Linked DNA regions of Drosophila melanogaster. The protein of the gene in region 1 purifies or fractionates together with the protein of each later gene. This does not show direct contact. Each region holds a gene or a part of one and is shown on either strand. Other genes may lie near its edges.

Region 1 (9,230 bases):
TACATATGCACATATTTCTGAGCAGTAGGTCTAGATATGTGCTTATATTGTATACATACACTTTAAAATTTTGCATACATTCCTGTCCAAGAATTTTTATTTCAGTTTTCCCCTCGTTTATTGTACATTATTTTCTGTAGTCTTTGTTAACTTTTTATATGTCTATGTCGTTTATGTTCGTAATTATCAAGTGCAGCGTTCAGGAGGAACAACGGCAGTGGATCGCCCCTTTTACAGAGCCGCTGGCAGGTTGCGCATGCGACCACACAGCATTGTTGCTCAGCGAAGCACCGAAATGGACCTAAACCCCCGATTTCGCTTCTTCGAGGGCAACGGACGCTTGTGCAACTGCCACTGGCTCAACGAAAGCCCCGAAAATCATCAATGTCTGTTGTTGTTGAGATACCGAGAGTAGAGAATACACACTGCTTAGCACGCGACACTTAATACCCATTCATTACACATGCACCAACGACGATGAAGTTTTGCCAAGTAGCTAAGTTTGTTGACCTGACCATCAAGTGCAGCTTTCACACCCTCATATAACTACTTAAAGAAAATATAGAAAAATGGAAATTAGTTTTGCAATTTAGGGGACTGCCGAACTGCCACCGTTTCCACCTGACGCTGCGCCATCATATCAGGCTCTAAAAATCAACACACCATGTTCAAACACACGACTAGCATACAGGAGCAGGAGCTACAGTAAATTTGAACCTTGTATTCGCATGTTCGCCAATGTTCATAGTGTATTCTTCAAGCTCATTTTCTAACCAAGTTACCAAGTTCAATATGATGAATAACTACAAGATTAGCAAACAAATACAAGTAGCATATGCGTTATTATATAACATCGAGTACTATATACATTACATGAAATACAAAATGCAAGAAAAATTACTTTTAAACAAAATTTATGTTGAATAAAAAACAGTATTTCCAAAAACTAAACTTAACTGTATAACAACTTCCTTTTGCAATGTTCTAATGATCCTAAAAACAAGACATGGGGTAAACTATTTTAAGAAATTCAATCTAGGACTTCAAATAAGTCTTAATTAAGTACACCCATATTCTTGATCAGCAGAGTCAACTTGCTCATGTTTGTATGAAAACCTAGAACATAAAAAAGCCAGAAGGTCTGGACTAAACTCGCAGATTCCTGTAACTTGGAAGCACCACGAGTTTGCTTTAGAAGATGCCTTTCCGTTGAACTAAAACTAGACGAGTAAAGCGTATCTCAAACATTGTATCTTCCGAACCAAAATAGTGCTGCATACTTTTCGGGATATGTCTTATTCAATGTAAGTAATACAAAAAGAAAAAAGGTAACTTCTTAAAACTTGTAATATTTGTCACAAATGAATGACGACTAGATTTGGCCATGTCTGTAACAATAAACGTACAAAATATTCGAAGTTGCAGAAATGGGGATCCAGCATTCGGATTTGGTTTTTTGTCAAACTTTTAAATATAGAATCGGACCACATCTTTTTAAGACCTTAAAAAACTGATTTGAAGTTAGACCCCTCATAATGCCAACTAAATTTGTTAAACAAAAATATGCCCCTATATGCCAATCAAATTTAAATACAATGCTTTCTCAGCGTTTCAGTTAAATACTTTGGGTTGTTTAATGGTTTTATACGTATACATGTGCTAAGTCCATGTATCTTATATTTCGTAAATCCATAGATTTTGTTCGACGAAACTTTGCTAAATGATATTGATCTTTCAAATATAACTTGTTAATTTCCTTTCATCGCCGTGGCAAATCCTTCGAGAGTGAGTACTACTTGTTAAACGCATATATGAGGAAAATTTATTGATGAATAATGCGAACATGCAAACGGAACACATCCCCGAATTCACACAAAGCATCTCTGTGGTATCTCTTTTGGTTTTTTATTTGTTGCATCAACTCCGCGGAACTCCAGCTACCTCACTGCAGGTCGTAGTAGTCGACGTTATTGGCGGTCAGATGTTCTCTATTAATTTGGAGCGTGCTGCTGTTTCCACTTCAAACTTTTATTAACATATATAGTATGGGTTTGCCGGTATATTGCAAACGGGAACTAAGTGTAGATTCGTGAATGATATCAGACTGGACTGCAAACGTTTAGTTTCTAGCATGTTTTTTTTACTCTCTCCTTTATTTGTTGGAATTTTTGAGTTTTATATAGGTGGAGTTTTCAAAATGACATTAATTCATAGGGGTGAGTTTTATATATAGTTCGACTGGCTGTTGCAGGTGCTGGTTTCGAATTTTTGGATGGGGATGCTAAAGGGCGGCTCCGTTTGTGTTCATCCTCATTTAGCCATCAACCAAGTTCTTACTCGCCATTCTTTTGTTCGTCCTCAGATTCGGATTCTGAAAGAGAATAGAATACAAAATGTTAGTATGGGGGCTTCAATTGGTACAAACTGAAAAGATGTGCAGCTCCGGTTATGCTGTCCAAATGATTATTGGCCAAATTTAACTATGGAAAGTTATCTGGACACCCAACCATTCAAATGCTTTGGCACAACTCCCCGCTTGGCTCAATCGAATGAAGCAACCATTCGGAGCTTTTATGAGGGGATTGTGCATGCGGACTAGGACAAATGCAGCTGTCCAAACGATTATTGGCCAAATTAACCACGGCATTGGGTTATATGGGCACCCAATCATTCTTTCGCTTTTGCATACTGTACATGAACCCTTTAAAACTGGTTCCTAATAATGGGAACACTTTAAAAGCTTGGTAAGAAGCATGCTCGGTGAAGTCAGCTATTTGTGTCCAAGTTTTCATTGGCCTTTGATGCTCGGATTTTGTGAGGCAACAAGGCAAGCAAAAACTCAAATGCTCTTGCAATTTTGTACAATGAAAATGTCATCCAGGACAAGACCATTCTCAAAAAGTGCACTGTGTAAAGTTTCGAAGGAAGCAAAATTTGAATATTTATATTGTCCAGGTTTTCATTGGCCTACGTTGTTCAGTGAATGGAAATCAACGAGGCAAGCAAAAAACCCAAATTTCTCTTGCAATTACGTACCAGAATCAAGCTATTTAAGACAAGACCATTCTCAAAAATTGCACGCTGATAACATTTATCAAAACATACTAACCTTCTTCGGCTGACTGAAGCCATTCGACAAACTTTCGCATTTGTTCAAGGAAATGCATTTTGCCCTTGTTTGAGTGGCCCTCCTTGTACCAGCGCAAGATGATCTCCTCGGACAGGACCTCGGTCTTGTAGAACAACAAAATGATTTTCTGGAAGGCCTTCATGAAGTTCATGTTCTCGTAGCAGAATTCCTGCACCTTCAAGATTAGGGCCAATTCCGAACGGTCGGTCGAGGCGAAAGCCTGCAACAGTGGGCAGTAGTTCTTCAGATGACGAACAGCCTGATCGGTAACCAGCTCCTCCTTCTTGTTCCATTCGCCCAATGACATGATGGTGGACCAAATCTGGTAAAGATCATACATGAGATTTAGTAAGGAAATCATCCAGTTGGATTATTTACGCATCGACTTACAATAACAATTATTTCATGATCGGGAATGTTGGTGCGCTGCGAGAAGTCCTTAATGTCTGAGGTTATCTCATTATATGGCTTCTCATCGTTGATATCATCGATGAGCGCCTGCTGCAACTCACGCTTCGCCTCCTGGCTAGCCTGAGCCTTATGTAGCTTGACGATCTCGTTAAGTTCTTTGTCAAGAAAAACTTGTTTAAAATATTCCTCAGTACGTTTGTTCGGTGGGAAAAAGTCCATAAGTCTGGAAAAACGTGAAAAAGTGGAACCATTATTAATAATTTAAGTTAACGCATTCAATAATCAACCTTAAATGACGTATTGAGGTGTACGAAATTAAATCAGCACCCAAATGAAGCGAAAGGTCATTTGCGAATTGGGTAAAACTCCGTCGAACTTTCTTACTCTAGGAATATCAATTAAAGATGCACAACTGGATCATTGAGTCATCTTCCTGAGAACATTCCGGGGCTAAAAACAAATCACAACTAAAAACTTACTTGCTTTCCAGTCCACCCTTCTTAAGCGCCTGAATCAGATATGCAATGCCCTTCTCTTGCTTGAACGTCTGGAACAGCTCTAGTAGAAACTCCAATGCAATGCCATCCTTGATTAGGTGCTCGTTGTTTAGTACCAGTAAAACATTTGGCGGTACAGAACCGTTGACTGTTGATCAAAAATAGGGTTAAATATAGGGTTAGTCAAATGTTTTCGCAAAACAAGTTTAGACGGCCGGCTAGCAATCCTGTCCTTGGGCTCGTGGCCCTTAGATGTGGTTAGTTCATCCAAGAGTCAGTATACCAAGTGAAGGATTACTTTAGCCCCTCAGCTGCAAGTTGAACAAGTGTTTATCGAAACAACTAATTGAAAGACCGAATGGGCAGACGCAAGCAATGCACAGGAGGAACAGGAACATAAATGTTAAGACTTACCTAACCAGAGCGCTGTCATACGCGCAAGCTTGATGCGTTCACTAGGAGTAAAGCCCTTTACGAATAATAGAACCTTTCCCATCTCCTCTTCGAACATTTTCTCAAGGTACTTGTACCGTCTGATGAGCTTGACAAATACCTGGAAAAGGTAAAGTGTGATTGCCCCTGTTAGCGGATGGTGAAATTTTACTGTGTTCTCACGCAGGAGGCTTTTGTATTTGTTGTTGCAACATTAGAAATCTTTAGATTGCTGGCGGTAGTAATTTTACAAAATAAAGACAAGTAAAATGTGGCTTTTTATTTTGCATATTTTGACACCGATTGAGTTGTTGAGATGCATAACCGGTTCTAATAATATGCACTTTGATTCAATAGCGTGACCTTCGCAGTGGTTGCATGCATATAGTATATATATATAGTGTTGAATAAAGAGTAGTTGTTGACACATAAGAAATCTTCAGAACGTTAGTGTTTAGGACAAACCAAAGACAAGTAAATGTGTTGATTGTTATTGCATATTCTTGACACCGATTACATTTTTGAAACTTTATAGTCAGCTCTAATGATATGCAGCCACTTCACGAATTTCATACTTTTAAGTGGATCCGAAGAAAATCATTTAGTAGTAAATAAACGTTTTAGCTTGGAAAACAACAAGAGCTCAACTTGTGTTGCAATCAAACCAATTTTCGTTTACTCATAATCATAATTTAAGTATGACCTGCTAAAAGATTACAAACCTGCTCATGGTTGCGCATGCTCTCCATGCTCTCGGGCGCATCGAAGATGCAGTAGCTTGTGCGCGGCTTTTCGCCATCCTGAGATATAGAACCACCAGGCACTGCAATTGAAACGAGGATGGAAAAGGGTCAGTGAAGAGACTAAACACATTACTTGCAGCGGAAAACTTACCTAGTAGACCTCCTGCAATCAATATGTCAAAGAGAACTTCACCGTAGCGACGATAGTCGAGCTTGTTGCCCGCGCTGTCTAGATATTTAGAGATTTGTTCCAGGTCGCCTTCAGTTTTTTCGAGACCAGCAATGACCGCATCACGGAATCCCGTTGGGTCATATTTTTCTCTTTCATCTCTTTTTCTGGTCTTGATGCGTTGACCCGATAGCACTGGTCTTTCAGTTTTTTGACTCATACAATAAATTGCTGCAAAGGTAAATGTGGATCAGAGATGGAAGCGGTTTTGGTTTGCCCCTGTAAGTTTTTATTTCTGACCAGACTAAATTATCATGGCCACTAGATTCATTTTTAGATTTATCTTAATTTTAGTGTAAGATGACTAAGGTGGTCTCCAAGCGGTGGAAAACCGTTCCCTGTATATGTATTCTCGTTGCGCTCATAATCAAACTACAACATTTTCACCTATGACCGGCGTTTAAGTGGAAACTCTAGTGAAAACTGAGCCTAAGAAAGCCTTAACCTAAAAATGCCAGCGTACATGTGCTTTAAACACACACATTCAAGAGCGGAGAACGGGCACACTTCACATCTCTTTTTAATTATCTCTCTTTTTCACACACACATACCCACTGTGCATTTTACAGTTTGATAATGTCGACAAAAGAAATAAAAAGAATTGAGAGGTGAGGCGACCAAGAAATCGACATAGAAACGCAGAATAAAGTGAAATTTTGACGTGGTTACTTGTGTTAGGTAGCGCGCTGGGGAAATGAGGTCATTGTGCATGTAGTGCACATAAAAACGCGCCGATGACTGTGTGCTAGTTGGCCGGGAAAATTGTCATAGCAGCGAAAACGCAAAAATTAAATTATCTAGGCTATCAAGTACACATTGGTACATATAAGGAACGGCAACTTACGCTTTCACCCAAGGATATTAAGTCTGGCCCTGTGTTTGCCGCTTCCGCGTGTCCTTGCAATCAATTGAAATCAGTCGTGTGCGAGTGTAGTGTGTATGTGTGTGTGTGTGTGCCTGTTGCTTTTTCACAACTAACGAACGTGCGAGAATATGTAATTTAATTTAACCTCACGAAGCGCTGGCTGGTTAATGCTTCTCACTCGAGTCGACGAAAAACAAAGAGACAGATGGCAGATCCCTTCTTTTCTTACCTCTCTTTTCTTATGAGCGAGCTTTTGCACGGTAAAATTGACACGCACGCACACACACAACAACAAAGAAAAGGGGAGAGCAAATAGAAAATATAATTTTTTGTAACGGAATTTACTTTTATGCCTTCAAAATAAACGTTAACAATTTTGCTCAGACTACGTCCGGAATTCTATTTTTAACAGCTATCACAATCGGTTACTAGGTATATGTGTTGTTTGCCTCGAATCCAGCGCCCCTCTGCTCGCACCACTTTGTTAAACGAAATTCGGAGAGCGAATGAGACGACACACGAGCGCACGAACGAAGCGGACGAGCCGAGAACGAAGACATGTGGTTCGGCGCCATTTTGAAGCGATACACTGACATGGCGAAAGCGGAATGATGGGCACAGGGAAAACGAAAATTAGGGGGAAACGGTGAGAAAAAATGTGGGATGGGGGTTCAAAGTGTGTATATTGCTGTCGCGCTTATTAAATAATGAGCAAGGTACAGTCGAACAAAGGCCGACGGCCACCAAATGATTTTTTGCATGAATATATGACTGCCCGATGACTAATCTGGCCTTAGGTACGCACGCAGTTCGTACATAACCCCTTTTCCAACGAAAGCGCAGACAAAGGATTGGTCAAGGCCAGAGAAATGACCAGGACCGCGATTTTACTCGCCCTATTTGTCTTTCTGTGTACTTAGGTCTACTCTAGCGCTATTTTTCACTCCTATACTTACGATTAAAACAAAAAAATCTGTTTTGCTGCGAATAAAAGTAACTTTTTGCGTAGCTGTTGGGCTGCTTCTTCTGGATGACTTGCGGTATGACCGTGGCCTGCTTCGTACGCAATGGTACAGAGCTCACTAAGGTGTCCAAAAGGTGGCAACATTTTGGTGAAGCTGTTGGCTGGCCCCACTAACCGGACCTGAAAATGGTGCAGCGCTGCCGGACATTTAACGGAATCAAAGATTCCACAAAAGTCATGTTTGCATTAACAAAATTCATATTTAACCTTAACAAATTCAACAAATTAAGTTAAGTCCATTTTAGTAGCGTTGCGAGGAGTTTATTTTCGAAAATACGCCTTTGTATATATTATATATTTTTCCTCCACTTTAAACAAAATCGAAAGGTGTCCATTTGTCAGCTATTTAAACAATATGGCATCGCCGCCTTACTTGCTCAGTAAGAAAATTTAACTGTTTTTTTTTTGCGCACCTGAAAGCGGCGATAGACATTGTTTACTTTTAGTTTATATTTACATTATCCAAAAGCCAAATGAACTTTGAGCAGGTCAATATACCAGAGAAACTAGTGCCGGACAACTATTTGCAACTGGGACTGGCTGCGCAACGCAGTAAGCAGCGCAGTTTTAAGGAGCTGCTCGAAAAGGTAATCAAACCGAAATTAAACCCAAATTAATTGATAACTCCATGGATAATTCTTCTTTTCAAGCGAAAGCTTCCGAAAAATGGTTGGTCCGATGAACGTATCGAGGAGCTGGTGCACATGCTGGCTTCCTTGGACAGCAATAACTATCCACATAAGGTCGGTTTAGGAGAGCGGGAGGCGCGTATAGCCTGCAGTAAGTAAGGGATCAGGAGGCGATATCCCCCGTAATGAATTTGTCATTCAGAACTCGTGGCTCGCCGTCACTACAACTTCGGTCATGGTATCGGCAGATCTGGAGACTTACTAGAGGCACAACCCAAGGCAGCTGGCTCTACGCTGCTCGCTCGTCTCACAAACGCCCTGATTCTGGACCTTATTCGGGGAATCGGACTGCCCAGCTGTGCTGGCTGCTTTTTGGTGCCAATGTGTACAGGCATGACATTGACTTTGTGCCTGCAGAGTCTTCGCAAGCGGCGACCCGGGGCGCGGTATGTGCTCTGGTCCCGCATCGATCAGAAGTCCTGCTTCAAGGCCATCACAGCAACGGGCTTGGTGCCGGTAGTCATCCCCTGCCTTATTAAAGGAGAGTCCCTGAACACGAACGTAGATTTATTCCGAGAAAAGATAAAGTCATTGGGAGTGGATAGCATCCTCTGCCTGTACACTACCACCAGTTGTTTTGCTCCACGAAACAGCGATGACATTGCCGAAGTATCCAAGTTGTCCAAACAATGGCAGATTCCCCATCTGGTCAATAATGCCTATGGATTGCAGGCAAAGGAAATCGTTAATCAGTTGGAGTGCGCCAATCGAGTCGGACGCATTGATTACTTCGTTCAGAGCAGCGACAAGAATTTGCTGGTGCCAGTGGGTAGTGCCATTGTGGCCAGCTTCAATGAGAGTGTGCTCCACGATGTGGCCAGTACTTATGCTGGGAGAGCTAGTGGTTCCCAGTCACTAGATGTCTTGATGACGCTACTCTCACTTGGGCGCAATGGCTTTCGATTGCTTTTCGATCAGCGGGGCGAGAACTTCAATTACCTGAGAGAGAACCTTAGGAAATTTGCAGAGCCACGCGGAGAGATTGTTATAGACAGCAGGTTTAACTCCATATCCTTGGCCATAACATTGGCCACTTTGGCTGGGGATCAGATGAAGAGCATCACCAAGCTTGGCTCCATGCTACACATGCGTGGAGTTTCCGGAGCAAGAGTGATAGTTCCTGGCCAAAATAAAACTATAGACGGGCATGAGTTTCTAGGCAAGTAATATTCACTATCGTCTTTGTTTTCCGACTAAAATTTAGAATATT
Region 2 (5,615 bases), on another chromosome or scaffold:
TCCAATTGTTTACTGTTTTTGATAAGAAGCCAACCGATTGGCCAGCTTAAAATCCTAGAGCCCCCAAAAGTTATTCATGTTTGCAGGAAAGTTTAGCCTTGAAAAATTTGTTTCGAGCCTAAATAATGTTGTTTATCTGGAAGATATTGTTTTAAAAGATATAAATTAGCACACACATGCACGCATACATGGCAACATATCGACAAAATAAACAACGAAAAGTGGGACCATTATATTATGTACATACATAGATTTTTGAGTAGGTGCTACATTGACCCACATATGTATGTATATATTTGAAACTAAATGGGACATTCCCACTTAGAAAAATAAGAAAATCACATTTTAAAGCTGTAACAGCAAGCATTTGCTTTGCATTTGAAGGGAATTTGTTAAGCAAAAGTAGAAATATTATGAATCTTTTTACAAACTTCCACTGTTACATTTTTGAAACCATTAAAAGCAAGCACTTTACATTCTAATATTTCGTTTCTCTTAAATCCACAAAATACATACACACATATATACTCTTATGTACACACGAAGTTGCCAATACGACAGTGCCATATGTACATATGTATATGTATGTATAAACAGTTCACATCTGCAGCCAAATACACATTCTTACAAGACTTTTTCCAGCATTTTTAACCGCTATTTAAATTGGACTATATTTTCCAAAACTCATTCATGAACAACATTGAAATGTTAAAATTACATGCACAAAAATAGATGAGCATATGTATAGAGAAACGCACTGTTGCACATGTGCAACTGAACATCTATTAAAATTTCTATACATGTGTACAATTTGCATTGAAAAACATTACAAGTTACGGTATAATGTTAACAAAGATATTCGAAATGTTTAGCCACCGTTTATAAATATTAATTATTAAAGCGTCCGCACGTATATCTCCAACATACATACATATGTATATACCAATATGTATACAGATTTATGTTCACTACGCACATACGTAAGATGTGAACTCGAGATGATTTTACCCGATGCACTTATGTTTCATTATATTTCGTTGGGGAAAATGTGTACCACACACACACTGCACAATCGTTAAATTCGCTCGGAAAACATACTCTTTGTTCGCCCCGTCAGTTTTACACAAGTTATGGCGTTTTCACTCGGTAACTTTCATTTACATTCATCAAGAACCAGAAGTCTTGAACTCTTATGCTGATTTGTGTCCGTTTGTTGCTACTGCATGTTGAATAATTCACATTTTATTTTAAGGTTTCATCAATTGATTATTTTATTTACATGCCAGTATTAAAATGTTCTGAAAATTAGTGTGCCCGTGTGAGAAAATTAATCGAAAAGACGGTATAGCAAGCGATTAAATATCGATAACGATATAATGGTGAAGTGCTGTTGAAATGATGCAGTCAACCAAAATATTTGATTATATTTGCCAATTATGCAAATATAAATCGGCAGAGAAACATTATTTTCTCAGAAATGTATCCAAAAAGCCAGGCTTACACAGACAATATGCCACCGTTAGTCTCTCCAAATATCGATAACTTCTGTTTATACATTGCTTCAACTGAAGGGTTTAAGGTCGCTCTTATCGAAATCTGTAAAAGCCCGATTTTTGCCGATAACAATACCATAGAATCAGGCTCATTTAAAATTATTTGAAAACTTTAACAAGTTATGTAATCATTCAAAAACCAATCGACTTAAAAAAAATATCGACACATTTCTGTTATATATATATTACTTCCAAATATAGCAAATGAAAAAAACAATTTAAAGTAATACTCATACTATTTTAGGTATTTCAACGGTTTATACCAAATAAAAAGGCAAAAATAAATATTTAAATGCTTATGAGTCGGCATTTTTAAAACTACACACAGAGTGAAACTTTATTCAACAACAGTAAACATATTTATGTGTATAATGGATGTATTATATTAATAATTTTCCAATGTGGCTGGTAATTGAAGAGCGAAAACAGTAGCATTTCAGAGCATAGCGCATATGTATGTAGGTGATGCTCCACCGGGGAGCAATATATATATAAGTTATGTGATGCCATTTTCAGGCCGTTTCTGAAGTGTCTCACCCCATTCTACCGCGCCCTAATCTTTAACTTTTACGTAGAGTGTGGGTGGGTAGTGTTCTTGGTGTTCCACATTTAATCCTTGCTCTGCATGTACTTGATCAGGTCGATGACGCGGTTGGAGTAGCCAAACTCGTTGTCGTACCAAGAGATCAGCTTCACGAACTTGTCGTTTAGCGAAATGCCAGCCTTGGCATCGAACACCGACGAGTGGGTGTCGCTGAGGAAATCGGTAGAAACGACCTCCTCATCGGTGTATCCCAGGATACCCTTCAGGGGTCCGTTGGCGGCCTCCTGAACCTTGGCCTTAATTTCATCATAGGACGCACCCTTGCCCAAGCGCACGGTCAAATCGACCACGGAAACGTTGGGAGTGGGCACACGGAATGCCATTCCGGTGAGCTTACCGTTGAGGGCGGGGATAACCTTGCCCACGGCCTTGGCAGCTCCAGTGGAAGCTGGAATGATGTTCTGGGCAGCGCCACGTCCATCACGCCACAACTTGCCGGAAGGTCCATCGACGGTCTTCTGGGTAGCGGTGGTGGCATGAACGGTGGTCATCAGACCCTCGACGATCTCGAAGTTGTCGTTGATCACCTTGGCCAGAGGAGCCAAGCAGTTGGTGGTGCACGATGCGTTGGAGACCACCTTCATGTCGGGCTTGTAGGCATCCAAGTTGACGCCGCAAACGAACATGGGAGCATCGGCGGATGGGGCCGAGATGATAACCTTCTTGGCACCGCCCTTCAAGTGAGTGGATGCCTTGTCGATGGTGGTGAACACGCCAGTGGACTCCACGATGTATTCGGCACCAGCGCTGGCCCAGTTGATGTTGGCCGGGTCGCGTTCGCTGAAGACGGTGATCTTCTGGCCGTTGACCACCAGGAAACCGCCCTCGGCGGCAACGGTGCCCTTAAAACGTCCGTGGGTCGAATCGAACTTGAACAGGTAGACCATGTAGTTCACATCGATGAAGGGATCGTTGACGGCCACAACGTTGGCGCCCTTATCAATGGCGGCGCGGAGAACCAAGCGGCCGATGCGACCAAATCCATTGATACCAATCTTCGACATGGTTAACTTTTTGTTTATCTGGAAAGTAATGTATGTATATGTAAAGCAGTTAGTACTTGGAAAGTTTTCCGCGGAATTGAGGGAAACACTACCTATCGGCTTGCTTGCAAGGAATCGACTGTGATGGCTGAGAAATTTTGAGCGCTTTCTATGGGCGAAAACTCGGGCGAAAAATTGTTCAAAGTCAGATGAAGGACGTGCATGTCAAGCTCGAGAGCGGCTACCGCAATAAAAAAGAGCTTTTGCTCTCAGTAACGTGAAAGCTCAATGCTACCCAATAGACTTTTTGCAAGCATCATTATATGAATATAATAAGTAGATATGTACATAAGATACGCTTAACTTTAAAAACTTCTGATCTTAGACAGTTAAAGTGACCTATAAAGTATATGGATTTTTTAATTTATACGGACAAATGTTTATTGGGATATTTTTATGGCCATTTCACCTGCTCAATTTTGTTGACGGAAGTTGAGCTTTCTTGTGAGCTTAGTTGCCGGCAATTACATACGTGCATATATAGGCACACGAAACATACACATATATGAGCACGTCTGATGAACATCAATTGGTTATATTGTACATAAATATGTACATAAGTAAATGCAAATGGAAAAATCCTAACATCCCCACATAAATACATATTCATCAATTTCATTAATATTAAAATTTAGAGGTCATATTCTGAGCAAATTGAAGTTTCGCCGGTACGTGACATTAATCTGTACAATACATGTACATATGTACAAAGATACATATACATGTAAATATGTATATATCTTCTATGCATAACTACAATATTAGATGAAATAATTGTCTAAGTAATTAAATTATCCGTTTTGATGATTTCATTTAAGCAATTGTGCTGTTGTCATCCCATTGTTAAAATGAAAAACACCTGACAGCTCAAGTAGGCATCCAAATTTCATGAATTTTAAACGCTAATGGTAATAAATAGTGTTAGTCACAAAATTCCATGTACCCATAACAACGAAATTGTATAACTTTATGATGAAAACTAAGTGAATGTGACCTTTTGAGTCACGCAGAATTCATTTACCTTTTTTTATTATATATAAACATGTATATACATATGTTCTTAAAATCAGCAGATCCCGTTTATATAAATATTAAAACATATGTATACGAACGATATATAATCAAAATCAATTAATTTGGGAGTATTTTATTCATACAATCATTTGTAGTAAAAAAAAAGGTATCTGCAAATTAATCATTTCTCCTTCCCCAAACTGAATAATCGATATTGTAATCATTTAACATTCTTTTTATTCTTTTCATTCTTTTTATATATTTATCGATTTGTTTTCAGTGCAACCCTTAATTATGAACATAGCAGTGAAAATTCAAATAAGCGCGCCAACATTAAAATGTTGAAATATGCAATTTGACAAGAACTCAACATTTCTGTTGCCTTATCTTTTACATTTTATAAATTATTTCTCGAATAAGTATTAAATATTTTAGTGCGTCATGTTTATTTATTAATACTTGGGCTGGGCAAAAAAGTTCGTTCCTTTTCAGTGAGTCATCGGTTTTACTGATAAGCAAACATTTCACTTGTTTTTTAACCTCTCATCTTTATATTGTTGAAACGATAAATGTATTTCAGCTTGGTGCTAAATTATTGCAGCAAAGTCAAAAACAATGCTTACATCTTACCATTAAGATCCATTGAAAGATGACTTCTAGATTTATACATTACCGAAAAAAAGGATCCGATTAGAAAAGTATCCCTGAAAGTGAATAAAACACCTGCCAATGTTGTGGAAGTCTTACTGTCCTTCGAGTTTGTGGGGTTATTGCCTTTTATGCTAACATCCCAGGATGACTTCCTAACCTAGAAACCCCATTACAGATAGAAGCTTCTTGACGTCACGAGCTGAAGTAGGCTATCTATGTTTATTTCTCTATATAAAGAAGGATAGTTCGCCTTTCTATGCGTACTATATCAGAAGATATATCTCTGGATCTGGTCAAAGATATCACAATTATGACTGTTGGAAATTAACTACAATTAATACCGATTGTTTGCATATCAAGTTCATTTTAATATATCAAGCTTTTATATAAAAGATATCATATTAGTACCACATTCGGCAATAGTTTCGTTATGAATCCCCGAACTGCAAACTAATTGCGACTACAATGTGGCAGGCTAAAGTTGATAGAAAATGAGCGGGTGGTTTGATTGAAAAAAAATTTAATTTGATTGCATATAAATGTATGACTATTAGCATGCCAGTTTTATTAACCCGTTAATCCTGACAGACCAAACTCTTAATTAATGTTTTCGGCATGTACATATGTGCACACGTACATTAAATGATATATGTATGTAGCATTTGCTTAACACAATTTTCTTTATTATTTATTCTAGATATAACGCTGAGTTGACGGCTATGACACAAATTATAAATTAATGTTAGTAAT

Evidence for each region. Proteins that work in one complex are often made in the same cells at the same time.
Region 2: the proteins of kra (region 1) and Gapdh2 purify together in Drosophila melanogaster (affinity purification with mass spectrometry, with the first as the bait; one large-scale study listed by BioGRID). This does not show direct contact.

The regions. Positions count from the first base shown.
Region 1 is NT_033777.3:5,593,752-5,602,981, forward strand, and holds kra (krasavietz), read right to left. Parts: upstream 7,386-9,230; 5' UTR 7,264-7,385; intron 6,821-7,263; exon of another isoform or gene 6,287-6,820; intron 5,823-6,286; exon of another isoform or gene 5,614-5,822; 5' UTR 5,603-5,613; coding exon 5,365-5,602; intron 5,294-5,364; coding exon 5,193-5,293; intron 5,027-5,192; exon of another isoform or gene 4,887-5,026; intron 4,816-4,886; exon of another isoform or gene 4,672-4,815; intron 4,592-4,671; coding exon 4,453-4,591; intron 4,407-4,452; exon of another isoform or gene 4,264-4,406; intron 4,187-4,263; coding exon 4,021-4,186; intron 3,989-4,020; exon of another isoform or gene 3,845-3,988; intron 3,765-3,844; coding exon 3,521-3,764; intron 3,453-3,520; coding exon 3,110-3,452; intron 3,081-3,109; exon of another isoform or gene 2,946-3,080; intron 2,908-2,945; exon of another isoform or gene 2,775-2,907; intron 2,759-2,774; exon of another isoform or gene 2,609-2,758; intron 2,590-2,608; exon of another isoform or gene 2,450-2,589; intron 2,372-2,449; coding exon 2,334-2,371; 3' UTR 1,613-2,333; downstream 1-1,612. Other genes in the region: SecS (Sec synthetase), read left to right, coding at 7,805-7,918, 7,982-8,111, 8,163-9,179. UniProt on the Drosophila melanogaster protein: May be involved in memory formation.
Region 2 is NC_004354.4:15,865,882-15,871,496, reverse strand, and holds Gapdh2 (glyceraldehyde 3 phosphate dehydrogenase 2), read right to left. Parts: upstream 3,353-5,615; 5' UTR 3,254-3,352; intron 3,180-3,253; 5' UTR 3,162-3,179; coding exon 2,163-3,161; 3' UTR 1,836-2,162; downstream 1-1,835.